Linked DNA regions of Bombyx mori. The protein of the gene in region 5 purifies or fractionates together with the protein of the main gene of each other region. This does not show direct contact. Links are inferred from orthologs where the notes say so. Each region holds a gene or a part of one and is shown on either strand. Other genes may lie near its edges.

Region 1 (4,003 bases), on a different chromosome or scaffold from region 5:
CAGTTACCGTGGTAATCACGTACGAGTCAACAAGAGTCGTCGAGAGTCAGTAGGACTATGTTTACGATTAGGAATTTCAAAATTTCCAAAATAATTTAATTGAAAAAAAAAATTTTTTTTTATTGCTTAGATGGGTGGACGAACTCACCATCCACCTAATGTTAAGTGATTATCGGAGCCCATAGATATTTACAACGTAAATGCGCCACCCACCTTGAGATATGAGTTCTAAGGTCTCAGTATAATTACAATGGCTGCCGCACTATACAAACCGAAACGCATTACTGCTTCACGGCAGAAATAGGCAGGGTGGTGGTACCTACCCGTGCGGACTCACAAGAGGTCCTACTACTTACCAGTAAATAGCTCATTATTCAAACCTCACTTGTCTATTACCATAAAAACTATGAAATATTCGGACCCATTGCAAAAATTACCTCACTCAGCTACCTTCGTACCAAAACAAACTAATTCCTTAACGCCAGATTTAAAAAAAACAATTTTCCAAATGGTCTCTCATTTTTCAATTAATTTTCTTCAGTTTGTTTCAAGAGACCACTATAACATGTCCTTCTTCAAACAAGTATTTGAAAAGTGTCCTCAGAAGTACAAGTTACTTTAATTGCACATTTGACATTACAGAATTCTGTGAGCAACACAGTAACCATTTACCATCAGTTGTCCTGTAAGAATGTGCCAATAATGAAAATGGGTAGAAAGAATAAATTAATCTTATATATGAGTCGACTATTATCAAAGCCGGCAATCTGACTTTTGGACAATGATTGGTAAATCAGAAAAACGAATTATTGACTTTGTATTCCATTGGCAGTCACAAAACTCTTCGGAACGACATCTTAGATAAATAACAGGTTAACTATTAACCTTTATTTAATGCAGGTTTTGAACCGTATTCTTTGAAGGAGACGATTATATTCAAATCAATCTGTATTGACATACCAATAAAAATTTTTGTCCAAATGCACAGATTGCCACCTTTGATAATAGACGATTCATATACAGTGTTATAAGTTTATAAACCAACATGCTGGAAATTCCCATGTTATTGACAATATTTATCGATAGTGACACACATTGATAGGGCAATCCTTGTAGTAAACATACACAGAAAGTATATCTTATACATACAAGAAACATGTATATTATGATAGAAATAAACAAGTGGTGGCAATGAGCAGCCTTATCACTTCTATATAATAAGAGATAATTTATATAGGTTAGTAAATATATGTTTCCAAAATAGAACATCAGTTGTTTTCCAGAGAGCATATCGACGCTTGAAAGGCAAACATGACTAAGTGACAATGTGTGAACTGTACAGTAGACTAATTGAAAGTTGGAATACCTGAAAACAAAATTTATTTTAACGAATCTAGCTGTAGTAGAATCTAGCTAGTAGCTGTAGGATTGAAATAGGTTTTAATAGACCTAGAAATATATATTTTGTTATGTACAAATCAGTTATTGTCGCTTAGTCACTTTCGCCTTTCAAGCGTCAATATGTATGTACATTTTTTTTTTTTTCTGGACTATGCAATAATATTGAGATCACAACATGAATGTCCTCGCTCATTAAGTACTTATTTGAATAACGGTAAGCTCTTCATACCATAACAAATGAGTGCTTTGCCAACAAAATTAGTATAATACTGATGTCTAACATCATACACTTAAAGTTATGCAAAATGCCAAATATGATGGAATATTTTAATAGCAGTTATGTATATATGGTGGTTCATGTCCATCTCATGGTATACTCAAGATTGCTTGTTGTAATTAGAAACAGCCATTATACTTTTCAGTTAAGATTTTTTTTTTGTCCAGTGTTATGTACTATTTTGATATACAAAAACACAAACCTTTCTACTTTGTATGTACAGAAAACGAAAAAATCTAAGTCAGGTCATCTAGGTAATTCGTGTTTGATGCTTTGCCTATTTTGATACAAGAACATTATAGGAAACCGTCTTGAAGGTCTACTAGAGAAGCAGCCGGTAGAAAAATGCACCGCTATAGTGAAGTTTTTGGTTACCAATTTAAAAAAAAAATTATATTCTACTACTTACTGACTTCGGTGTAGAAATACTATGATTACTTCTTTCCGTACTTTTATTGCGGAACTTTAACTCGTAATCAATGTTTGATACGTCGAGATTTTATTCTTATATGAATCTCATACTTATTCGCTCTTATTCGTAACGTCGCCCTAGACTAATCAATAATTTTCGTCCTTGGTTTAGGTTTTAGGTTAGAATTTGAATACGTAATGTGAATGCCCTTTTATACTTAAATGTCTGCAGTTCTGAGCGTTTTATTATATGAAAAGGTTACGTAGTTAATTAATAAAAAGCTCATTGAAACAATCATCGTGTTAAGATACGTGGCTCTGTGTGCGTGAATTAGATCATTTAGGTCAAATTCGTGTGCAGAATTTACATATATGAAAAATATTGGCGTTCAGTTACAGTATTTACCTTTTCTAACGTCACACATGGAACATTTGAAAGCTTCCGCGTTATTCCTGTACGTGCAAACACTACAATCCCAGTAGTTTTCTTCCAGCACTTTTGATGGCCTTTTGGCTCTTCTAATGGCATTTTTCTTGTCCATTTTAATGCATACACGCAACTAAACGTAGCTAAGACACGTCTATCATGATATTTTTGATTGAAAACTATTATTTCTAATGCACAATTGTGAATTAATGCGTCGGGAAATCATTATTTTTGTTTTACTGTGCACAAAGATTGTACACTTTTACGCCATGACAGCCGTCAATGTTACGTCGGTTAAACAGCGTGAAGGCGCCACATTCTTCTGAGCTGTTTTAGCTACAAAATAGCAATACTAGATGGCGTTATTCATGAATTAAGATTTATAAATTTTTCTTAGAATAAAATTCAAACATAATAATAAACAGCGAATAAAGTACATAAGTATATTGTTGGTTGGGCTTAATAGAAGACCGAATGCGGATATGGTCATTTTATTATTGGTCCCAAAATTCAAAAGGGCTATTTTGCGGCAAAGACAGGCAGAATGGTGGTGAACTAGTTGATAAAATTAAATAATAACGCAAACGTTACCATAATAATATTATTCTTTCCGTGGATTGTTGAGGCGGGAGGTGGATCTTCTTAGTATAAGGTCTATGAACCTAGTCTTATCTAGTCATTCATTACTTTGGAACCAAAAAGAATTAGCTGATAGCACAAGTCTTTGACCAGCCACAAAAGGGCCGCTACATTAAGTAAAGGTCAAGAACTCCAAACGTTTTAAAATTCGAAATATCTATTCCAAATGACACACCAACACTAAACCACTGAACCCAAATATCAGTCAACAAAATTGTGTACATTTTTAAATAGGTACCGATACTTAAACGCAGAAATTCAATTATGTGTCTTATACTGGTTATTTTAAAGCTTAAAATCGTTTAAACAAAAACTATGAAGCACGGTAAGCCTTTGAGAAATATTTCTATGCCGTTTCTTAGAAAACGACCCCTTTTTTGTGACGGCGATAGAAATAAAATCTCTACCTGAGTTTTACGAAAGAAGTCCTTTCATTTTTTTCTACTTGAAGCGAAATACGCGTGGTTCAAAAATCTTGGATCTTTTCACGAAAATTATCAATTTAAAACGAACGTTTAATTCTAACTTTGAATTTATTGTTTTTTTTTTTTCTAATACGAATCTAATTTCAGCCTGGCTTTCCTTGACCAATAAATATTCCTTTTTACGAAAATTGCGCGGACGGAGGCGTTGAAAATTTCCACACTTAAAGAGAATATAGAGAAGTGCACAATGCTAATATTTTTTTTAAATAATGCATAAAATATACATTAATTAAATCAATAAGGAAAACATTACACACACTACATACCATGTATTTAACGCACACACGCATGCATACTATTTATTATCAAGCTTTTGTTCTTGACGTCTGTTGTCAAATTGAGAATAGATTAAACATTGTTTGT
Region 2 (3,500 bases), on a different chromosome or scaffold from region 5:
ATTGCACACCAAAGAATAATTAACATTGAAAATCACTCAACAGGCAGTTATAAATTATACAAGGCGGTCTTTTCTAAGCCACCGTATTCATCTAGGCAAATTCTGGAAAAACATACGAAAGATATGTTGCCATAAAAGAGTGATGTATCAAAATAGATCAAATCTTTAGGCACATTAAATAATTAAGAAAAAAAGTGTGTGTGTCCGCTCCGACGCACGACTGGAGTTTACTGGATATAAAAAATTAAACGAAACAATACGAGAAATAGTTCTATATTACGACAACACGATACACTACAGATTATTAACAAATTAACGAGACACAAAACAAACGACTAACAAATATATGAAAATACAATAATGAGAGAAACGCGCGATCAGTACGAGGCTTTGTGGCGGACTGCCGGCGCAGCAGCCCGGCGTCACCTGCGATAACGCATTTCGTGTGACATGCGCAATCAGGCGCATAACGCATTTCGTGTGACATGCTAGTACGATTTTGGTCCCCATAATTTTCATACCCCGGGCCTATATATGTAAATCGATTCTAAAGGAGTAAACTCCAAAAATAAATACATATAAATATACCTATGACATCGGTAATGACCTGTATTTTACATTAAGTCTAAGGGTAGTTCTGTTATTTCTGTTATACATAGAATACAGCGCAGCTTTCAATTTAGTTAGTAATTTGAAGTTAAGCACCCGTAATACGATAGATGATAAGCCTTTATTAGTGAGTACCGTGTACAATTATCCGTTAACATTATGATAACACTTGTAAATAAAGGTTCTGTCGTGACAGGTCCGCGACAGACGTGTTCTTGGTCGGCGATGAACGAAATCATGACGCCGAGGTCAGACAGAGGCCGACAAATCTAGCGTCTAGCATGCGTCGTCGTGTACAACTTTATCAAATTACGAACGATTATACCAGGTATCCAAACTTACCTAAATATTCTCTAATCCATTTCTTTTTTGGTGGAGGTCGAACCTTCTCTGTTTTCATCTCTTCCTTTTTGTAAATAATCGGGGCGAAGGCCGATGTTGGTGGTGCCTCCGGGAGTAGCCGGGGGACAGGGTTAATAGGAGCTGTCGTTTGCGGGGAACCGTAACCATTAGCCGGGTGGCCGTGTGGAGCGTACTTGTAGGCTTTGAGCATGATCGGAATTGGTTCGACAATGCTTCCGAACTCTGTCTCCCTGGTATTGATGGCGATGGTGTGGAACGTGTCCGCGTAGTATTCGCCGGGTGCCCCCATGGTGCTGACTTCGCGCGCTCGCTTGTACCCGCTGCCCAGGTTCACTTCCGTCGTCTCCATGAGTATACCCATTCTACGATGGGCAACCGATCGTTAGCTGCGCTTATGGGTCCTCATAGTTCTCACACACTGTCTTTGTCACTTAACTACACAGAGTTCTTGTTGAACCCCTCACTATATCATAATCGAAATGTTGGCTGTACTATAAAAAAATATAAATTTGTTGAGCGAATGCGTTTGCGATCTGTTGATCAGAAAATGTCGCCTAAAAAAGTCTTCTTTCAATTTAATACAAAAATTACGACCGATTTGGCTTTTCATTACGAAGCGAGTGACGTATTGCAGAGCGTTTGCGCAATCCATCCGTGACATACATCTACAGAAAAGAGTAGTAACTAAATTCGGTGAAACCCTACTAATTTAATGTACAGTCATTCGTCGAAAACAAATCGTAATTATCCCTTGAAATTAAAATTGGTTAGGTTGAATCGATTATTAACAATTACATTGTAACAAAAAATATCGATATTTTTCTTGTGCAGCGGCATCATTGATAAGCGAAATTAATAAGTATTCTGTGGAACGAGTCTCTTAGTGACCGTATATTTGCTGACAATAATGAGACTGCGTGTGTAAGGAAACTAGTTTGGAGAGCGGCGAGCGGGTGATGTGAAGCGAGGTCTGTGGCGAGGCGCTCAACAAGTGCGGGGGGCGTCGAGCGCATGGCGCGTCTCTGGCACGTGCAATCACCTCCGCGCCCCTCCGCCCCGCCGACGCAGACTGACATTCAAAAGAACTTCCACCCACACCATGCGACCCTGGTAGACCAGCCGACCGAATTGGCAGACATTGTGGATTTTAGAACAAAAACAAATAAAACCGAGACAAGTTTCCTTCCTGGTGTTTTCTCTGTTGATTTTACTGTAAATATTTATTAATTTTACAGTACAAAGTGCTGTCCCTCAATTTAACCAATTTAGTTTAAAATCAATAAGCATTATGATAAATTATCTAAAAATAGTCTCAACTGGGTTCATCTTTTTCAATGCGATTCCGATTTGAGCAACCGACGCGCGTGGACGTGCTCATTGTTTTGTCGGAAGTGACTACCGGTGATAATAGATCATTGTTCGTGGCACATCTGTGGCCCAAGTGTTTCTCGGAATTTGTACCTGCGCCTAATTGCAAGGCATTGCCGCCCGGGAACTGTGCAGTGGTTCTATTCACTCTAATTCTATTCTATTTATTCTATTCACTAAAATTCTAAAATTCCTAGAATCGCTTCGGCCAATTTAGTGTTACCGACGCAGGGGCCTCGCCGCAAGGCGAGCGCGTGTTTAAGTCCCGGGGCCGCCCCCCCCGGGCGAAAATCACGTAAAGATGGAGGAAAAACTTTTCATCGACTTCATTCGGGAAAAATACCCGTCAATCGCGCCCGAATTCGAAGCCTATAGGGCCTCATTTGGTAATTATTCTCCCCCCGCATCTCTCGCCGCCGTCGCCAAACATGCCTCGCAGGCATGCCTCGCGTGCCCCGCCGCCGGTCCGTGTTCAAGCGCACGTACGCACGCCGCCGCCGTAGCGTCTAACGCCCCCGCCCCCGCTACCCCCGCGCCCGCGTCAATCACGTCAGTTTCGTCCGTCGCGACCTCAATAGCGTCTAGTTCAGGCTCCGATACCGAATCGGAGATGGACTTCGAGTCCGCGACTAGCCCTCAACCCGGAACCTCGGATGGGTTCCAAACTGTAACGCGCGGTAAAAAGCGTACTCGCGTCGTGGAGTCCCGGAGCTCCATGACGAAGCAAACCAAGTCCGCGACCGCCTCCCGACCGCAGGTAGTCGTAACGCCGGAGTCGGACTCCGCCCGCCGCGTAATCCCACCGCCGCGCCCAAAAACCGCGCCCGCGCCTAAAACAGTTGTCCCGCCCCCGCTGATACTCCAGGAGAAGTCAGCGTGGAATCGCGTATCCCAGGCCCTTCAGGCCAACAAAATTAATTATACCCATGCGCGTAACGTCGCGCATGGGATTCAGATTAAGGTCGCAACGCCGGGCGACCATAGGGCCCTCTCTGCTTACCTCCGAAAGGAGAACATAGGTTATCACACCTATGCTCTTCAGGAGGACCGCGAACTCCGCGTAGTGATACGTGGAGTCCCCAAGGAACTCGACATAGACTACGTAAAGGAGGATCTGATCGGTCAGTCCCTCCCAATAATTAGTGTGCACCGGATGCACA
Region 3 (4,278 bases), on a different chromosome or scaffold from region 5:
GTGGATTGGGAGGATCCGAAATTGACGTGTTTGGGGTGACGTCGACTGCTTTTCATTCTTTCCGCAGGATCGGGAATGTAGTTACCGGCGGCCACAATAAGAGGGTTCTCGTGTCGTGCCTCTTTATCGAAGTGGTGACAGACTTCTAAGTACATCGTAATAACGAATGTCGATTCAAAAAATCGAATATAGTCTCTTTAACGATTTACTGGTAGCCACTGTGTAGTCTGTTTTTCGATTGAAATCCATAACTATGTAGTTTAATTTAAGCGGTGCGTAAGCAAATGTTTGTTATGAAGTTTTTTTATTTTTATTTAACTGCCTAAACTTAACTTTAAAGGCAAAGGTATTGGGTGAACAGCCTAAGATAATAACTATCACAGGGATTTAATTTATTTCATTTGATAAACCTAAACCAGTAACGTTAAAAGATTTCCTTAATTTTTAAGGTTCATCCTTAAGTTTTTATTCCGAAACACATTTGTAAATTAAGTGATTACAATTAAGAAACTAATTTATTGAAGAAGCATATTATATTGTTCAGGTTATGGTCAAAATTAAGAATGTTAAGAGTCTCTCAGTTAAGAACAAAAGCAGTCCATCACAAACTAATAAATAGTGAATCATCTTAGTTTGTATACTCATACTCTACTTAGTACTTATACTCTTGCTCTACTTACTCACTTATACTCACTAGTATTTGACCTTTTAACGTGTTTATTATACGTAGGACGATGTTTTACTGATATTAAATAAATTATTCTTAACGTCAAGAATACATACTTATTCGTTTATTATCACGCATTCAAGTTATCCATTGTTGTAAACATTGGAAATACGAAAACTGTTAGCCTTGGAACTTCTTATCGAATCAACATGCCTACTAACAATCACCGCGAGGGCGCGCGCGAAATGCGACGTTGCCAACTTTAATCTACTACGCCTTAAATACGGACACGTATGCCGCCATTTTGTTTTATATTTAAACCTGTGTAATCCAAATTTAAAAGATTATAAGAAACACTATAAAGTTCTCAATTTGCTACTTTCAAACCTTCCTTTCCAATACGAGCACATGGTCCAATATAAATTATTCTGGGATTACGTAATCAACATCATGCCTCATCATGGTGCAATTCGTTTCGTTGTGATGACACATTTTTTGCTTGTCTAGGCATTTATAACCGTAATATAATAAAATATTTAGGAACTTCTTTAAGGCTTGCGCTGTGTATGTATTATCAATATACTGCATGATTGTAGTACAGTCGCTCTGCCCATACGAATCATATGGGTAGTCATACCTAGATACATGAAGCGATGAGTGTCGGCGCAATATGTTTGTAATACGTACTGTGAGCTGGGTGACAGCCCGGGCTGGGTGTGGGGTGCACACCCTGAGGATCCAGGGTAGCATTTATGCCGTCCTGCGACCACACACACCACATTTTTAACGCAAATATCACAGTATTGATCACGCACAGACGCCATTTTGAACCGACACTGAGCTCGGTCGCAGAGGCGACGTTGCCACGTCGCACGCTCCAAGCCGCGCTTCTATTTCAGGCCCTCCCTCCCCTCCCCCACCCCGCAGCGCCGTGACGCTCGAGCTCCAAGCAAGGCTCCACAAAACACTATCTATCTTATAATGTTATCATCATACAGTCCCGCGTATTTTTCTTATTTGAAAACATAATGTAGATCATGTGGTTTTCTGTATATGGAGAGGGAAGGGTGGTGACTGCAATGCATGTAACGTAACAATTCATGAAACGATAAGATATTAGGTATAGTGTTGAAAAGCTGATTTAATGTAGAATTTATACATAAATTGTAAAATGTCGAGCGAACGGCCGGCTTTCACCGAGGCGCGGCCGCGCACGACCGTACCGACATGTGCCATTGGCCACCGCAGAGATCGATAGACAAACAGCGACGAGGACGCCGACCTGCGCTCGACTTTCATGTTACGTGCCAACGGGATAAAGACGAGAATTCCGTAGCTATCTGTATAAACAAACTACACCACGAACACACTGACGTCCTCCACGTAGATACGCACAAACACAGGCGCTGTAAGAACGACGACGCGAGCGAATGGCCCAACCTAATAATGTATATCAATATCATCAATGTATTATGGCGCTTTTCTAGAGTCGAAATTCCTTTACGTTCGCGCATCGAGCGCTCCCTACCGAAGGACAAAGGAGGATTTCACACGGAAAACAAAGGGAAATGCCGGTTACATGATAATAACAAGAACATCTAGATATTTATTTCTGTTATAGTTAGCGCGCTTGATGTTGCCAGGTCGTCTGAAACTGGCCAGCGCGCCATTTACCATTATGAAATTGAGATTTTCTAACTGCACATAACACGTTCAAGTGATAAGAAGAATTCTTTGCAACGTTACATAAATAGAAGTTACATTGGTCTAATTATGCGTGCGGCAAAAGGTTAACGTATGGTATCTGAACAGGTGTGGGCCAATGCGTATAACTAGTCTGCAAAGGGTGCTTTGTAGGTATATTTCTATAAAAGGTGAGATATAAAGCAAAACAAAATAGATAAATGGTATAGACAATTAGCTTTGAATGGCAGACGCAATCTGACAACCAGTCACTCACCTCTTTGGATGCTCGAATTTCTCGGTTTTCTACGAATAAATCACAGGAACGTCACTTCTCGACGTAATAGCAAACGTTTTTAAGGTATCTTTAAGATTTTAAAGAATTTCAAATGCATAGAATAATTTAACATTACGTTGAGCAAACGTCCTACGTCGACAGAGACCGAATGCGAACTGTTGGTTTTTGTTGGTTTGGGTTGGCGGCTGACGCCCGGGGCTAGGACAGAGGGCCGCGGGGAGGACGCAAAACCGGAGAACGGACGATCGAGAACTCAGAAACGTAAACGCGTTATTACTAATGAAAAAAAACGTACACAAAATCAACCAATTCTGTTGTACCATTTAAATTATGTCATTGTCTGAAGAGTTCTATTGTAGGTATATAAGTTTTTGAAAAAATCATTAGTGCAGGTTGTTGCACCCACGCGGACCTGTGCAAAGCGATAGTTTTGTAAATATACGTCTACAATAATATATATTGAGTACTTATATAAACACATATTGTGTATGAATGATATATTTTATGTAGTAGGTAATCGATAGGCAAATTTTTAATTGCCATTTTTTTAAGTATATTGCCGTAGAACGATTACATACCTATACTTTATACCTACTAATATCTACAAAATGTAATAAACTATGTATAGTCTTCAAAATATTGACGCAACGTTAAGCAGCTATTCTGTATGCTTTAATGTTAGGAAATTAATATTTTTACGAAAACTGTAGATTGACACCTTTATCACCAAATATATTGTCATCGTTGATTGTTTTCTTCAATCAATGTTGAAGACAAATTAAGTTCAATAAGGAAAAATTAGAAGATAATGCAGTAAAATATGATAGTCCTTTTCCATAGGCCAACAATACCGAAAATGTTTCATTTGTAATTGATTGCTTAATAGTTTCATCGACCAATACGGACGGTCTGATTTTTTTCTACTGGCCAATAATATTAAAGATCGTGTAATTGTCAAAAAAAAGATTAATTTTAACACACGTCTGTAATTTTCATCGCATTTATCGTTAATTCGTCGCAATTTAAAGAAGAATTCAAGAACTTTTAATACAAAAATGAGATTGAATAGTTTAATTTTTGCATTTGTGATTTTATTCAGTGTTGTTTCAGCAAGAATCGACCCTAAAAACTTAAAATGTTTGGGTGTGTACTACGTGTTTTCTGTTTTTTTTAATTATTTTGTTAATATGATAATTTAATATTTATTTGATATAAATTATATAATTTTTCTAGTTTGTCGGACGACGTTTGAGGAGCTTCACCAGGTGATAAAAAGCATAGATAAATGGAAAAGAGTCGATGTGAGTAATTTTAAACTTTAAAATAAAAATATAAAAAATCTGCATCTAAAACTTTTCTTTTACATTTTTCAAGATTGATTTAATTTGTTAAACATTTAAAAATTTTTGCTTGTATGTTTTCAAATAATCTTATACAAATTTAACATGAATCTTTCCTTTAGCATCTAAAATATGAGAAAAACTTAAGCACGACAGTTAAAATTATTACGAAAAAAATAATTTAATTATAACTTGTTTCTACTATATTTCACTATAACTATATTTCAAGTAAATGTTGACAGTCACACTAAAATAGTCATAACTTTCTCCAGTACAAAGTGTGGTTTCAA
Region 4 (3,500 bases), on a different chromosome or scaffold from region 5:
TTTCTTTATCATTTTTTCGAGAAATAAAACACAAATATACACTTGTATTTCTTTATTATCAAATTAAAAAACTAACAAATCGTTTTAAAGCCATATTTGCTCTTGAAACATATTATTATCTGTATCGTAGGTCAAAATTCTAACCATTCTTTATGGTGTAGTTGCTTTCATATTATTTAAAACATTACTTTTTTTGTCAAGCAACTTTTTTTAAGTTTGGCAATACAGAACCCTACCACAGAAATGATGTAGATTATTTTCTCTTCAATGTAGTTGTGGAAGCAATGAAGAACGTTGTATTGCAAGACTTAAAGAAACATGAGTTTATGGTATAAAAATATTTCTCGACCAACCAATAGTAGGTTTAGGTAAAAACCTCAGTGCTTCATAGAAATAATAAATTTTACGCAAAGTAAAACTGAACAGTGTCATTTGTAGAAAGATGTTTTCATTCTTTTACTGAGATACTTCCATCATCACTTGCGATGCATCTGAAAACAAATTTAATTAGTTTGCATTGTCATGTATTACTATTTTTAAGTATTTGTTTTTAGGTCACAGTCGAGAAAAAAGTCTTTTGACAAATTTTCATACACAGTGTTGCCAACCAAAGATTCCTATGTATTAAAAAACTACCTCCTTCTCGAATCGGTCGCTTACTACTATGCATTGTGATGCGCTAGCACACGGCATATTCTTGTGATCTGTAGCTACTTATGTTGGGATAGTGAAGTATGTCGTATCGTATCCAGATTGTACGACATTTAATTCTGATAACTCAAATTTTCAGGCTCCGAAACCTGGATCATTTCCCATCCACCTTGCCCGCCACTGTGAGTCTCTCAAAGTTATCATATTTTTTTCTGGCTATATGACTAATTTACTAAAACACTATATATAGGCATTTGGTGGATATATATAAAATATTGATTTACAATAGATTTAGCTCCTTCTTATTATGTTTGTAATAGTCCGAATAAGATTTTTTTCTAGTAAATGGGCAAACGAACTCCAAGACAGAAACCAGTCTGCCATTTTTTTGGGAAAATAAAAGTTTCCCCGAAAAATCGGGTAATTAATGGAACAACACAATTTTCGTTTTCCGAGTTTTTAGTAGAATTTCAAACACGTACCGCCGGAACCATCGTTAAACATAAACTCGTCCTGGTACTCCTTCAAAAACTGCTCGGAACGATGCTCGTCCAAGAACAGCGAGTAGACCTTTTTCACGTCTTCCATACTGACCTGGTATTTAGGAACAATACAATACATCCTTCAACATTAGAATGTAAGTATAACATTACTTTAGAATTAATTTAAAAACACGACTGCGTTAATAATACTAACTAACAACAATAGCGATAAACAAGATAAATTGCTTTTAAATTTGGGCAGGTAATAACAAACAAACCTAAAATATACTTGTAATTCAAACATAAGATCTTGATCTGATCGCTGAAGCTTGGTAGCTTTACTGAATTATTGCACTAATCCGAAATATTTCATCGAAATCTGACTATCCGTTTCTCCGGACGACATCCACACATCAACTTTTATATACATTAACTGGTGCCCGGTGCGCTACGCTTCTACCATACATATCAAAATTTCAAACCAATTCGGCTTAAAGGTTCAAACCGTTCAAAAAAGGTTCAAAAGATAAAAATCAAAACGGACAGCGCCATCTATCCGCCACTAACGTAACTATGTCTGTCGGACCGGTCATGTCGTCCTTTAAATATGTATAAAGTAACATATCAATTTGACTAACCTTTATCGAGTTTCTTTTTTATCCTACCTAGCTGAGAGCCTTGAGAGGCTATTTCAGCGTAGCCTTAACTAGTAGGTGAGCTCACGGGCCTCAAACCTGACGACGTTGCTAACACGAATCCTAGTAAGAGCCGTGCTTCGCAGAATCTACCACCGGATCGGAAACGCGACACACTGAGATAATCCGGCGAGAAACTCAGCGGGCTATGCCTGAGGGTTAGTTTTATATGAACATACACAACACGTACACACACACACATAAAATCACTTGTATTACTAATTTCTGTCTAATGCCCCCCCCCCCCCTACGTATCCGTAACCTCGGATGCCTCAAGAACCGGTTCTAACCTCAGCCGCCTTCCGTCTCTTGGCGACGAGCGAAGCCGTAGTGATCAGCTGTATGGCATAACGCAATGACGTTTCCGTGGCGACCCGCGTCAGAACTGTCAAAGCGTCGGCTGACATCTGACAGTCCTCTTCTTCGCAACTGTCAAGGGAAAAACTAGAGATGTAGAAGCAATTACAGAGGTAACCTAATCGATAAAACATTTTATCTTTTTTACACTTCATGTATTCATCTATATTACTGGACTTAATACCTAAGGCTTTATCTACCAGTCAACCAAAAGTTGTGTAGATTAATTAATGGTAGGTGCATTGAAATATACAAATAAACTCAATAATAAATACACACTATAAAGTGTTAATATAATATGTATAGTTTTTTTTTATTGCTTAGATGTGTGGACGAGCTCACAGCCCACCTGGTGTTAATTGCCTACCTGTGCTGACTCACAAGAGGTTCTACCACCATACAATACTCAAAGAAACATAGTTACACATATATTATGCAGGTACCACCGTCCTACCTATTTCTACCGTGAAGCAGTAATGCGTTTCGGTTTGAAGGCCTGGGCAGCCGTTGTAACTATACTGAGACCTCAGAACTTATATCTCAAAGGTGGGTGACGCATTTACATTGTAGATGTCTATGGGCTCCAGTAACTACCTAATACCAGGTGGGCTGTGTGCTCGTCCACCCATTTAAGCAATAAAAAATATATAGAACTCACCGTATATTGAGTATGTCCTTGAGCTCACTCTGGGAGTACGGCGAGGTGGCCACGATGATCATCCGGTCGAGCAGGTCCAGCGGTATGCCGTGCGGGCTGCGGTAAGTGGTACCCCGTATCCGGGTGATCCCTCGATTCGTCGCCATGATCACGATGGGAGCGGTTTCCGATTCCAGCGCGCGATTGAGGAACGAGAAGCACTCAATGTCCAGCATGTGAGCCTGGTGAGTTTGAAATAAGAAAGTTTCGATAGGGCCCGTGGACAGCACCACGCGAACCCAACTACTTATCTACTTCTACCGTCTATTTCTGCCGTGAAGCAGTAATGCGTTTCGGTTTGAAGAGTAGGGCGGCCGTAACTATACTTGAGACTTCAGAACTTATATCTCAAGGTGGGTGGCGCATTTACGCTGTAGATGTCTATCGGTTCCAATAACCACCTAACACCAGGTGGGCTGTGAACTCGTCCTCCCATCTAAGCAATAAAAAAATAAAATCTACATGAGGTTTCAGATGAACAGCAGAACGTTCATTGGTCAGCAATAGAACCATGCTGGGTTAAGTTACCATCGGAATCTCCCCTACCTTGCCCGAGTCTGGCTCGAGCAAGAGTATCCATCTATGAGCTTCATAATTTTTTTACTGGTGGTAGGAAGT
Region 5 (4,289 bases):
ATGGCCCGCGATGCAGTGTTTTGCAGCTGTGTCTATTAAAGCGGTGCCGTCAAAACCCAGTATATTTATGTTAAAAATCGGCCGTACGTCACGACCAATAGGGGGTCCCCTAAGATCGTCATCTCCGCCGCAATCATAAAAACAATCAAATCCCATTACATCACGCTTATTCCCATATTTCGGAAAATTCGGGTTTATCCCGTTTTTATCACAATAATTTTCAACTAATGGTATACAAATATTACTGTCGTCCGGACATCTTTGATGAACAAAATTTGAATCCTCTGCGACCGCGCAGGTTAATGTTTGACATTGCCAGTTTGCATTGGCATTGCGGCAAAGATGTCCGTCGACGCTAGAAAACATATCCAAATTATTATTTTTGTTGAAAAAAAATTAGCATTTTTACGTTCGGCAACCAAAGAGTTAACATTTTTAGTTGTGGCGGCTGAAGGGCTAACGTGAGTAAGGTTTTCGCTCGGACTATTATTATTTTTGTGATCGTCACTCGATCGATTACATGTTATACATTTCGTGTTGCATGCAGTGATATTGTGATTCTTTTCTCGAGAAGAACCTGGGCGATCAATACGAGATCGATCGGCATTATCACTGTTATCAGTAACCTTAAACTTCGAACGATTTGAATTACGGGCAGCAAAATTATAATTTTGTGGATTTCGCCGTTGTTTATAATGTGTGTAGGTATCAGTGCATGCATCACTATTTGGCAAAATAGGTATACAAGTTTCATGCACTAAATTAGAACTACGAATACGGTATTTTTCTGATTTGTCGTTTTCAAATTTAAAACACACTTTTGAATCAACACAATAAAATGACTGATCACTTTTAACTTCACTTTCACTAGATTTTGAGTGAGTTTTATTTTGAAATAAGTTAGTATGAGATTGATCACCTTGTTTTGAATCTAACTTACGACACTGGTTCTTCTCGTGACCGAAGAAATGGTAATACGAACATTTCGGGCGTCGCTTCCTTTCGGCGGAGTCAAATACACGCGGCGTTCCGAGAGCAAGCGGCGGCTGCGTCGTGGGCTCGTGGCCGGGGGTGGCGCCGCTCGGAGCGCACGTGGCCGTGCGAGCTGCGGTTGCTGGCGGAGGGCGGGTGCGTCCGGTGCCGGTCGTCGACTCGTATGGCTTTCTTGCTAATTCTCCCGTCGGTCTTGAGGCATCGTGTTCTTAGCGAAGTTCGTCCGTCGCGTCTTCAATTTGGCGCGCTCTTTGCAGAAGCACGTCGAATGAACTTATTTCGTCGCGACGAAGTCTCTCCCGTACGCGGCGGCTGAGGAGTCCGTAGATCATGTCCAGCTGGACTTTCTCGCTTAGGTCGCCGGCAGGTAGCTTCGCGAGAAGAGCGCGCGTCGCAGCGATGAAACGGTCCGTTCTTTCATCGTTTTGTTGACCTCGTTTGAACAGTTGAGCGTTTATACGGTGTGGAGGCCTGCGATCACCGAAAGCATCTCGTAGGGCTGAGACGGCATCGCACCACGAAGATATTATTATAGAGGACTTCACACCCAGCCACCAGACGGCGGCGTCGCCGCACAACAGCACGGACAATCCCCGGATGGCGTTCTCTTCCGAGATGTCGGAGCAGTCGCGATACGCCTCGGCCGCATCCAGGAAGGCATCAAGCGACTCACCTGCAGCCCCACTAAAGCGCGCGGTACATCGGGCGAAGTTCGCGTGTGCATGTGATGCGGGCACTGGTGTTGATGTGTTGTGCCGTATCGTTTCAAATAATTATTTCAAAACCTCTGTTTGGCTCCGCTGTAGTGCCTCTACTAATGTTGACACGTGCTCGCTGGAGAAGGTGGCTTCGGCGGGGGCCACGTGGCTATCGCCGGATCGGTTGTGGTGATTGGAGCGCGAGGCGTCAGCAGCGCCAATTTCGCAGGCGGGAGACGCGCTCGTAGATGCTTCTCGAAAGGACTCGTAGATTATGCGCGAGGCGTCGCCGGCGCCATTTTCTTGGGCGGCGGACGCGCTCGGGAAGACCGATCGCGGGACGCGAACGACGGGTCCGTTGCATCATCATCCCTGCGATTTCGGCTAGCACGGTTATCACTTCGAGTGTTCACCATGATCATGAGTTCACAATTTTATTTGCAAAACCGATATGATTCGTCGACTCACCGCTAGATTTACCTTACCACGTTGGGGCGCCAGTTTTGTGTTGTCCAGCTGGAGCACTGGGTATGAACACTCCAGAGGATCCCACAAACAAGTTCGAAAAGGAATGGTAGCGAGCGAGGTGCGGACGTGTTCTCGTGTGTATGCTTCGGTGGTTGCGGGTGAACTGTCGGCGCCCGAAAAGGGGCGCACGCGGCTTGCCAAAGGGAAAGCCCTTCGGTCGTTGAGTCGCGCCGGGAGCCGACAACGAGAGTCCCTGATTGGTCGCGGCGCGCGATCAGACGCGGCAGGCGTTAGGGTTGCTATAAAGTAGATTTTTATCATATTCCTTACTGTCGAAATAATTATTCGTATGTACAGGATAGGTACGAGGTGTAATTTTTTTTAATTTTTTTATTGCCCTTGTGGGCCATGAACTTCAGCAATTCCAGGGGCAGAGGCAAGCCGCTGCCTACGGGAAACCAAAAAATTGGGTATAAAACTTATACCTACCCGATGCATTTCAAGGCCCGCATCGCACTTCTTGATACGACTCAGTATGACAAATCCTCTAGGCTACGACGGCTAAAAATTATAAATTATAAACGTTCTTTAAAATACTTACGTTGCATACATTTCGAAGTTATACGTAATCAACAAAATATTTTTTTGTATTAAACTAATGTCAAATCATAATTTTGCCAACCTAAAACAGATGATGATTAATCACAATGAGGAAAACTTCAACAAGCTAAATATTATTACGTAATATACCGTTAGACTTTTTTTAAACTCCTTATCTCGTGGCCGTTATAATTTATTTGCTGATGCAATATTCCTAATTACTACACTCAACTTAAACACAACAGTGTCAAATAATAACTCGTATATTACTGTTGTTCCTTTGTTCACTTTATTGAATTTTAAAATATCTTATTAAAAATTTCGGTATCAACAAAAATGGTTTTCTTTAAAATAACCATTGTAATTTTTTTACTAAAATACGTAATTGGATTGCACGGGAATGATTTGGAAAACATCACACCTCCTCATTGTACGCAAGTTGCAAAAGGTTGTATAAATTAAATTTATATTTGATATTTTACATGTTGCATTCTGCCCATGGTCAGTATTAATCTAAACATAATTCATGCGATACCTCGAATTATGTACTAAAACATTAAATTTAATTAAACACATGTTAATATTGAAATAATAAAGAATCTATTTTTTGAACTTACAGACACAGACTATGTATCCAAATTTAAATTTGATTATCCAGTCTCTTATCTTATACCAGGTCAACGTGAAGCATATCAACAAGTGAGTCCCATACTTACAATAATATTCTTTCAAAAGGACGTACATACATACATTCTCCAATAACCCCGATCAATAATCATAGTATCTACCAAGTTTATTGTTGTCTAGAATCATTATGATCACGCTTAATGCTACCACATCTGATAACCTCCTGTTAAATAAGTGTATTAAGTGTAATATTTAAGTGATAACCTAAGCCACACCTATGTAGCATTGAGTCATTAATTATCGATTGTTTGAAAACTATTCATATCTAACTCTAACTGTAATAACTCTAACTAATGACGGTTTAGATTATAATCCGAAGTTTTGGAAAACCATAGTATTACAGCAATATTTCGTTGGTGATTTTGATAGGTGCAATATAATTAACTTGACATATAATAAACTTTGGTGGCTGATGCTAGAATTGCAATGAATAGGTAATAAATTGTAGTACATTGCAATTTGTAGTTATTGTGCAGTAACTTAACTACAAACTGCTTGCATGAAGTCAGGACTGTATTGCGCCGGTATATTTAAAATAAAATTCCTGTTTTCAATTTTTAATAGACCTAGTAGGCCAACGGATAGTGGTGTTGCACCTAATTTTAAGTGATTATAGGGGCCATAGATATGACATTGAATACGCCACCCATCTGGAAGATGCTGCCGAAGTCTTAATTGTATTATAATATATAGGCTAGACTATCCTTTAAACCGAAATGCATTACTGCTTCGCGAAAAGTTAAAATGGTGGTATTTACCTAGTAGATAAGGCTATCTTTCAACCAAGAGCAATAAAAAATTCCCATGAACTTTAAGCACTTTTCTTTAGATTGAGGAACCTGT
Region 6 (4,096 bases), on a different chromosome or scaffold from region 5:
CTGTGGTACAAAGGTAAAGAAAGATATATTACTAGCTTATATTTATGAGTCAAAGTGAAGTCGTCGTGGCCTAAAGGATAAGAGGTCCGGTGCATTCGTATGTAGCGATGCACTGGTGTGTAAAAATAAGACTTTGACTTAAAACTCTCATTACTAGGCTATAAAACCTTTTAAAAGTTGATGTTGATGTTGACACCGAACTGTCACTAAATGGTCAGATATTAGCCAATACTTAACAACTCTGACAGCACTTAAAGTTTTATAAAAAGCTTGAGATTTATAAAAAAAAAAAAGTGCGTGCGTACAAAGTACACATGTCAGAAGTGAAACTTTTTTGGCGAACTAATTTATAAGTCTTACTTATATTTATGCAAATCTAAAACTTTAGATTTCCAAGACTTAGAAGAAGGGAAAAAGGAAGATATGTTCCCGCCAAAAGTCTGTCAAATGTCAATCTCAAACCTCAGTGTTGACATTCACATTATGCTTAGATTTCTAAATTGTAGATGACTAATATTTTGCCAATTGAATTGACTAATTTAATTTCATGCTATGTTCCAAATTCTTTTCATTTCATTTCAATTCCTATTAACATTTTTCACAAAAAAATAAAATATTAGGCTGTATGATATGATACATTTGCCTTTCCAGTTGGAAAAATACAACAACTACTACTACTGACATTTGACAAGTACTTAATTTTAATAGTAGTTTGATGTCCTTCCGTTGCATACCTGCGTGACGTTCTGTAAAAATTTTACCCTCATAAAGAAGAAAGAAAGAAGTTTCACTTGAAAATTAAATACCTTCATTACTTCATGTTGTTGACTCATTTCAGCAATATTCTTCTGGATCTCGGCTATCCGATCTTGGGTTAAACGTTTCAATATACTCTCCTGTGGAGTTTCCACGCCACCGTCAGAGTTTCTCTTTTTTCGTTTCGGCGTTTCCACATGTTCTAATAGCGTTCCATATTGTGCAGCACAGCTGATGGATGGAAATGTGTTAATGACATACGGATAACGGAGCCCACAGTTCTTGTAGATCTAAATCTCATTATCATTCAGCTATCCAATGCTTCAGAGGAAGACATGACATCTACGCAGTTTGATATGGATTGAATAAGCTCATAAACAATATAACTATTTAAAATAATAGAATGAATATAATTAATTAGAGCTTTAGTGTCTTTCAAATAAGTTATTTGTAATTTTGTTAATTTTTTTATGAATAGGATTAATTTACTGGGGATTTAAGGAGCAATCTGCAAAATTTAAATTTTTTCATAGATTTTAAATAAAGAAGGTACATACTTAGTTAGACTCTTTTTATATGCCATTATATCAGAACTCTTTCCAAAGTGTAATTACATTAAATGATTTTATTTTAAAGCTAGTGCTATTTTATTATTTATTTTATTTATTTATTTATGTACACACAGAAAACAAGACACAGTACAGAGTAATAGGAAAATTATGTACAAAGGCACTACTTATTTCTTTGAGAAATCTCTTCCAGCAGACCTGCGAGAGGATAATGAGAATAATAATAAAATGTGATAAGTGTGTGTAGAACAAACTTATTGCTATATATGCTACTTATTTTAGTTTATTTGATAATATATTTTTATAAATTATTTATAATATTGAATATTCAATTGGCTTTTGACAATGATCTCATTTTATTTTGTTTAACTCGGTGTTATTGTTTTGTCAAAATGTTGTATTAACATTTCTTTTGAACATTTAATTATTGGGGCCACCCGCCATATAATATAAGAGCTGTGTTTAACCAATCCTAATGTTGTCAAAGTTATAGAGGGTGTCTTTTAGCGAGTGGAAAGACTTAAAGAGCGGACAGTTCACGTGGTATCGACATGTTATGCGTAGAGAGGAGATGCATGAGACTAGGAGATTTATGGAAATTGTAGTGCAAGGTAGAGGGGGAAAACTTGACCAAAGAAGACATGGATGGAGTGTGTGAATGACGATATGAGAGAGAGAGGAGTGTGTGTTGACCTATTATAGCCTACTAAATACTATAATAGCTCTACTGAATATAATTTTAAGTTTTATCGAGTTCAAATAACGTGGAAAGCGTGGTGGAATTTTCATTGGTGAATAATGCAAAAATGGTTTGAAAATAAAAAATAAATGTGTAAAAACGAATGTGTTTCTCATCAACTCAGCCACCACTTCACTATCGCAAGCTATTTCAAACCTGTATCAATAATTATATAGTAGATATAAAAGAAAAACAAAACCTTTTTTGGGAATACCAGTCCGGAGGCCTGTTTGGCTCGCCAAGGGTCTTTAGAGCGCGGGAAACCGACATCCAGTTCTGATCCCCGCTTCTGACCACGGCGGAGGCCAGGCATAGCTGTTCACGTATATTCCAAGTGTCCAGAGGAACTCTTTTGAGCTGAAGACGCTCTTGTATCGAGCTCATTTTGAGGTTATGTTTTGGAAATGGAGTTTCGAGATTACATAACTATTTATAGTTGTTTAATTGTCCATGTAATGTGTATTTACTGTTTTGAAAGTATATTATTTTTATTTTATTATTTAACTGTTTAGAACACAATTAATAAGTGTTTATTCTATGATACAAACGTCAAACATGATACAAAACAAATATATTTTTTTTAAAGTATTTAATGACCTGGTTATCAAGACCTTCGGGTCAAGTCTTATTTTAATTGTAATGAAAACTTTTTTATATGTAAAATTATAATATTTTATTTCATATTATAATTTTACATATAAATGAAGTTGATTAATATAAAACATGGCATGAAATGAAATCAAATGAAATGAAAACGAAATGGAATGAAAAAGAAATCAATTAAGATGAGATGATATAGGAAGAAAATATATAATCTCATTAAAATGGTTGTCATTTCATTGTAGACTTTTTCAGTGAAATTTTTGGAGGATCCCGAGAAGTTACGTTCAGCGGCTTGTTAGTTGGCGTGTTCAATTATTATTATTTCTTTTATTTATTGCTTAGATGGGGGAATGAGCTCACAGCTCACCTGGCGTTAAGTGGTTACTGGAGCCCATACAAGGTAAATGCGCCACCCACCTTGAGATATAGGTTCTAAGGTCTCAGTATAGTTATCTCGAATATATTAAGTGTATAAATCTATGATAGTTAGACTCTAATACACTTTTTAAATAAGATAGATCTATGACATATTTTTTGAAGTCGTCGTGGCCTAACGGATATGACGTCCGGTGCATTCGTGTTGAGCAATGCACCGGTGTTCGAATCCCGCAGGCGGGTACCAATTTTTCTAATGAAATACGTACTCAACAAATGTTCACGATTGATTTCCACGGTGAAGGAATAACATCGTGTAATAAAAATGAAACCCGCAAAATTATAATCTGTGTAATTACTGGTGGTAGGACCTCTTGTGAGTCCGCGCGGGTAGGCACCACCACCCTGCCTATTTCTGCCGTGAAGTAGTAATGCGTTTCGGTTTGAAGGGTGGGGTAGCCGTTGTAACTATACTTGAGACCTTAGAACTTATATCTCAAGGTGGGTGGCGCATTTACGTTGTGGATGTCTATGGGCTCCAGTAACCACTTGATACCAGGTGGGCTGTGAGCTCGTCCACCCATCTAAGATATAAAAAAATAAAAAAATATTTCCACTATTTTCCACAATCCACTGAGTTGTCTATGTCGTGGGGCGTTAGGGATGATAATCGCGTGCCAAGTGAGCCTTAGAATCGCCTACCGATTCGACACAATTAAAAATCTAATCTTTTAAAGTCCTTATAGGTTATTATTCCCAGTATGCGTTTAGGGTCATGTTTGTCATTTAGGCCTGAAACGAGTCACACGAAATTAATTATCAGCATTCAAACGACTTTTTAATTATTTTTAAGGAATTCCGGAAAATAAAATAATATCTCACATTAATTTCTCTCAAATTTTAGATACATATATTTTGTGTGTAACTTGAAACTTAGTTTTTCTTTAGTTAATTTTATGAGCTATGTCCCGCCGAGTTTCCCCTCTGCCTCTCGTAAATAAACTTCAACACGGTGTCAATGTCATCAGATTTTGACATTCGTCCTTTAGGCCTC
Region 7 (3,935 bases), on a different chromosome or scaffold from region 5:
AAGACCTACAACGACTAGACATAGACAAAGAAGTCGTCGTGGCCTAAAGGTTATAAGACGTCCGGTGCATTCGTGTTGAGCGATGCACCTGTGTTCGAATCCCGCAGGCGGGTACCAATTTTTCTGATGATAATTCGTACTCAACAAATGTTCACGATTGACTTCCACGATGGAGGAATAACATCGTGTAATAAAAGTGAAACCCGCAAAATTATAATTTGTAGGGTGGTGCAGCCATTGTAACTATACTGAGATCTTAGAACTTATATTTCAAGGTGGGTGGCGCATTTACGTTGTAGATGTCTATTGGCTTCAGTAACCACTTAACACCAGGTGGGCTGTGAGCTCGTCCACCCATCTAAGCAATAAATAAATAAAAAATATTAATATTGATATTTTACGTCATTATCCAAAGAGGGCGGTTTGCGTTTTCTGTTCATCTTTTTCTGTAAGGCTGCTGCGAGGACAGCTCCTCCATTGACCAGTGACGAAGAATCATTTACCAGAGTCGGACTGGCGGGTCGGGACACCAACTGTCTTGGTTCAACCACAGCTGTGCAGAAAACCGGGAATGTAGTATTTTAAATTAAGAGTGATTTGACACAATACTGCAGCATTTCACATTAATAGGGCTTCACGTCAATAGAATTACAATATTTCTTTCAATAAATAAACGCCAAAATTAAACAATTGCTTCATTATAATTGCTATTTTTAAAGTATAATCTGTCGTTTTTTACTGTAGTTATGAATAATTTACTGTTTTCTATGTCACGGATGACTCGTCATACACAGTTAAGACATTAAGGTATAAAAGTAGCCTTAATTATATTTACGACTGGCGAAAACCGAAGAAAATACTAAATTGCTTAGTTGTCACATTAATTGGTAATAATTACTAACATGATCATTATATGTTAATCAAATATTACCATGACAGAAAATATTCATATTCAATATATGGACTATGGTATTACTGGTTCTCACAACTGAGCTTCAAACGTGCTTATAAGGGAACAAGAAACTATTATTATTTCTAAGCTTACAACTTGATGGCTACTAAGCTGTTGACATGTTGAATAATATGTTGGTAACTAAACAATCATTTGGAATAACATCAATGATGCTCACATTATACATACCAGTAGCTACTACTGCTACTGTTTAAAAGTACAAAAAATAAATTTATTGTTTTAAGAATAAAAGCATGACATATCTACCTAAATAAAAGCATATTACACAAAATAAATTATTATGGTACATTACCAAGTGCATTTTTTTGTGCGGAACCATTGAGTGCATTGCTAAAATGGGCCTTTTCATGTGTTTTGGGTTGGGTCAGTTGATTTGTTATAGTTCTAGCATTACTAGACTTCTGATTCTCATTGCAGACTGTGTCATCTGCAGACAAAATTTTGTTTTTATTGCCAATTGGTTGATCATGGATGTTTGGTAACACAAACTAACCTACACTTGGCACGAGACATTGTACTGGGCAAAACAAAGAATCATACAGTAACAAAATAAAAGTACAAATATATTCTACTATATTAATTATAGCATTCAAGACAACATCAACTAAAGCTAGAATTATAACACATTAAAGTTTGGACTCTATTTGTTTTACTGCTTTTATCCAGTCCAACATGAACTGTCGGGTGGAGGAAAAATAGCAAGTAATAGTAGAGAGTAATAGTAGAGTAATATAAATCATGCAATTTATTACCAAATCCCATTCTTTATCTGTGAAGTTGAACTTTGAATTGTTTAAAATTAAGTGAAATGACCATAACAATTAATTAAGCTCTAAAAACAAAGACACATACTAATAAAAGTAGGCATAACGCCACCTCCTGATCCAATGAGTGTTTTCTTTGGAGTAGTTGTACCACCTGTTGCTGTTCCATCCCGTCGAGGGAATTGGACTTTACGAGTGTCCAACCAAGATTCACCCACCCATTCATCGAGACGTTTATTAACTGAAAAATTTTTTATGTTTAAGTCTAATTTCAAAAAAATTAAGCACTTCATGAAAAACAGGAGAAAATCTTTTTATTCTGTTAGTACATACGTATGCAAGCTTACAAGACACCCTATCACAAGTGTTCTTTGCTTTTTCTGCTACTAAATTGGATTTTAGTCCATTTACCACCCTTTGGTTTTTTAAATTAAGATCTCAATTAGACATGTGCCTTTGTAGAACATTTTTAAGTATCCTTTAAGTTCAATCTACTAGATTGTTTATCAATTACACATATGATAACAAGCTCACATTAGTTATAAATTTATAAAATGTCTCAACATAGGTAAGTAGCTTTATTTTAGAAATTTCCCATATATATAACAAAACTAAAGCTTATAGATATAGGTAATTAGCTGCTAATCTAGCATCACAGTCAATTTCTTATCAATGTTACACACAATTTTTCCAAAATGAATAACAAACATACCCGTTCATTATTTACTCACAATCAACATAATGCACGTAAAATCCTCTTTGGCCCTGAACTTCTTTAATACTTATAATTTCGGCGAGTGGCCAGTCGTCTCCTCCTTGCATACGAACAGGAAGACGGCATCCCTCAACAAGCGATGACTAAAACAAAAAGATGATAAATTAATCTCACGGTATTATATCACATATATATTCTAAATAAGCGGAAATCACCGTTGAATCACAAAATGTTGTCAATTCATCATCATTTTCGTTCATTTTAAAATAATAATATTATTTTTTCACAAAAATAGCTATTTGCTTTGAATGCTTAGCTGTCATTGCTGTCAATATCAAAGTAATCAGATTGCAGTCAATCTGACATTAAATAGGCAAAGGGAATATTATTCATAAGTGATTAGTCTAGTAGGTAACGAAAATTGAAATGTAATAAATATTGAGAGTTCAAGCGTCTACCGATTATGTATTATTTAGCGCTTACGTAAATCTGCAGATACCAATCATTGATATGTTTTTTTAGCTATTTCGTAATGCATATATGGGCGAATGTGCTCGTGAGTCACAGCTTACCTTGTCTCAAATAGTTACCGGAACACAAATATATAATAGCAATGTAAAAAGTGTAATGGAACGAAATGAAATTATATCAATTCACTAATTCCTTACTTTGCTTTGGATCATTTGTATCGCATTCGGCTCAAAAGGTTGAACTACTCATTGTGTAAAAGAAGTGATTCTGTTTTGCTGGTTTTGACCTAGCGGAGTATCTCGGGAGTATTAACGGCCCTATCCAAGCGGGAGGGATTAGAGAACCGCTGGTCGTCTTGACAAACGTCAAACTGATGAGCCGTGATGTGAGGCACCGAGAAGAGATGCGCCGTTGGGTTGTTGAGTAAAAGCAGGTTTTGTTAATTTCCTCGTGCGCTAAAACTGGATTACATGATTTTTTGAGAATCAAATCTTATTTGATTCTCAAAAAATCTTAATACACACGAATAAGATAGAAATTAAGCCATAGAGTAATGGAACCCTTCAATCGCGTGATCGAAGATCAGAGTGTCTCGAATGGCTTATAGATGTTGTCATTGGCGACATGGGCACGTGGAGAAAGTCTAGGCTTTCTACTAGGCAGTATTAAAACCCTAATAATTTTGTCTAGCAGTCTGTGGTGAACCCCGCTAGAGGAAATAATTACATTTGTAAACTTTTCGCGGGTTCCATTTAATTTTTTACACGTTGTCATTCTTTTAACGCAGAAGTTGCTTATGAACATGTGTTAGAAGCAAATTTTATTTTATTTTGTTCTGAAGATGTTGTCGAGAGCAACTTTGGATAAGTTATAGATAGACTTTTCGCTCCATTAACTCCTCGCTCCATAGACACCAATAACAAAAATCGTTTTTTTATGTTTGAGAAATAGCTGTTGGAAGTCTATCCAGTTTCACCAGGACACGTGGGCGAGCAAAGGTTCAGCCAGGAGA

Evidence for each region.
Region 1: the proteins of protein max (region 5) and Rybp purify together in Homo sapiens (affinity purification with mass spectrometry; 3 studies listed by BioGRID and IntAct, with this or other methods). This does not show direct contact. The link is inferred for Bombyx mori from reciprocal best matches to the Homo sapiens genes MAX and YAF2.
Region 2: the proteins of protein max (region 5) and max-binding protein MNT purify together in Homo sapiens (affinity purification with mass spectrometry; 7 studies listed by BioGRID and IntAct, with this or other methods). This does not show direct contact. The link is inferred for Bombyx mori from reciprocal best matches to the Homo sapiens genes MAX and MNT.
Region 3: the proteins of protein max (region 5) and paired amphipathic helix protein Sin3a purify together in Homo sapiens (affinity purification with mass spectrometry; 3 studies listed by BioGRID and IntAct, with this or other methods). This does not show direct contact. The link is inferred for Bombyx mori from reciprocal best matches to the Homo sapiens genes MAX and SIN3A.
Region 4: the proteins of protein max (region 5) and ruvB-like 2 purify together in Homo sapiens (affinity purification with mass spectrometry; 3 studies listed by BioGRID and IntAct, with this or other methods). This does not show direct contact. The link is inferred for Bombyx mori from reciprocal best matches to the Homo sapiens genes MAX and RUVBL2.
Region 6: the proteins of protein max (region 5) and bromodomain-containing protein 8 purify together in Homo sapiens (affinity purification with mass spectrometry; 3 studies listed by BioGRID, with this or other methods). This does not show direct contact. The link is inferred for Bombyx mori from reciprocal best matches to the Homo sapiens genes MAX and BRD8.
Region 7: the proteins of protein max (region 5) and histone acetyltransferase Tip60 purify together in Homo sapiens (affinity purification with mass spectrometry; 3 studies listed by BioGRID and IntAct, with this or other methods). This does not show direct contact. The link is inferred for Bombyx mori from reciprocal best matches to the Homo sapiens genes MAX and KAT5.

The regions. Positions count from the first base shown.
Region 1 is NC_085134.1:5,459,482-5,463,484, forward strand, and holds the start of Rybp (ring and YY1 binding protein), read right to left. Parts: upstream 2,801-4,003; 5' UTR 2,632-2,800; coding exon 2,496-2,631; intron 1-2,495. UniProt on the Homo sapiens protein: Binds to MYC and inhibits MYC-mediated transactivation. Also binds to MYCN and enhances MYCN-dependent transcriptional activation. Increases calpain 2-mediated proteolysis of YY1 in vitro.
Region 2 is NC_085122.1:12,291,062-12,294,561, reverse strand, and holds part of max-binding protein MNT, read right to left. Parts: intron 2,155-3,500; exon of another isoform or gene 1,899-2,154; intron 1,527-1,898; exon of another isoform or gene 1,464-1,526; 5' UTR 1,334-1,463; coding exon 952-1,333; intron 938-951; exon of another isoform or gene 806-937; intron 1-805. UniProt on the Homo sapiens protein: Binds DNA as a heterodimer with MAX and represses transcription. Binds to the canonical E box sequence 5'-CACGTG-3' and, with higher affinity, to 5'-CACGCG-3'.
Region 3 is NC_085108.1:991,196-995,473, reverse strand, and holds the start of paired amphipathic helix protein Sin3a, read right to left. Parts: upstream 2,801-4,278; 5' UTR 2,628-2,800; intron 1,541-2,627; exon of another isoform or gene 1,355-1,540; intron 1-1,354. Other genes in the region: protein seele, read left to right, coding at 3,704-3,791, 3,882-3,949. UniProt on the Homo sapiens protein: Acts as a transcriptional repressor. Corepressor for REST. Interacts with MXI1 to repress MYC responsive genes and antagonize MYC oncogenic activities. Also interacts with MXD1-MAX heterodimers to repress transcription by tethering SIN3A to DNA.
Region 4 is NC_085117.1:3,017,033-3,020,532, reverse strand, and holds the end of ruvB-like 2, read right to left. Parts: intron 3,065-3,500; coding exon 2,844-3,064; intron 2,258-2,843; coding exon 2,119-2,257; intron 1,246-2,118; coding exon 1,134-1,245; intron 492-1,133; coding exon 457-491; 3' UTR 38-456; downstream 1-37. UniProt on the Homo sapiens protein: Possesses single-stranded DNA-stimulated ATPase and ATP-dependent DNA helicase (5' to 3') activity; hexamerization is thought to be critical for ATP hydrolysis and adjacent subunits in the ring-like structure contribute to the ATPase activity.
Region 5 is NC_085131.1:6,419,340-6,423,628, reverse strand, and holds the start of protein max, read right to left. Parts: upstream 2,801-4,289; 5' UTR 1-2,800. Other genes in the region: uncharacterized protein LOC101745073, read left to right, coding at 3,096-3,207, 3,379-3,458. UniProt on the Homo sapiens protein: Transcription regulator. Forms a sequence-specific DNA-binding protein complex with MYC or MAD which recognizes the core sequence 5'-CAC[GA]TG-3'. The MYC:MAX complex is a transcriptional activator, whereas the MAD:MAX complex is a repressor.
Region 6 is NC_085117.1:1,939,524-1,943,619, forward strand, and holds the start of bromodomain-containing protein 8, read right to left. Parts: upstream 2,801-4,096; 5' UTR 2,449-2,800; coding exon 2,264-2,448; intron 988-2,263; coding exon 807-987; intron 1-806. Other genes in the region: uncharacterized protein LOC101740762, read right to left, coding at 3,997-4,096. UniProt on the Homo sapiens protein: May act as a coactivator during transcriptional activation by hormone-activated nuclear receptors (NR). Isoform 2 stimulates transcriptional activation by AR/DHTR, ESR1/NR3A1, RXRA/NR2B1 and THRB/ERBA2.
Region 7 is NC_085124.1:9,217,630-9,221,564, reverse strand, and holds the start of histone acetyltransferase Tip60, read right to left. Parts: upstream 2,801-3,935; 5' UTR 2,713-2,800; coding exon 2,668-2,712; intron 2,596-2,667; coding exon 2,469-2,595; intron 1,979-2,468; coding exon 1,826-1,978; intron 1,401-1,825; coding exon 1,266-1,400; intron 554-1,265; coding exon 402-553; intron 1-401. UniProt on the Homo sapiens protein: Catalytic subunit of the NuA4 histone acetyltransferase complex, a multiprotein complex involved in transcriptional activation of select genes principally by acetylation of nucleosomal histones H2A and H4.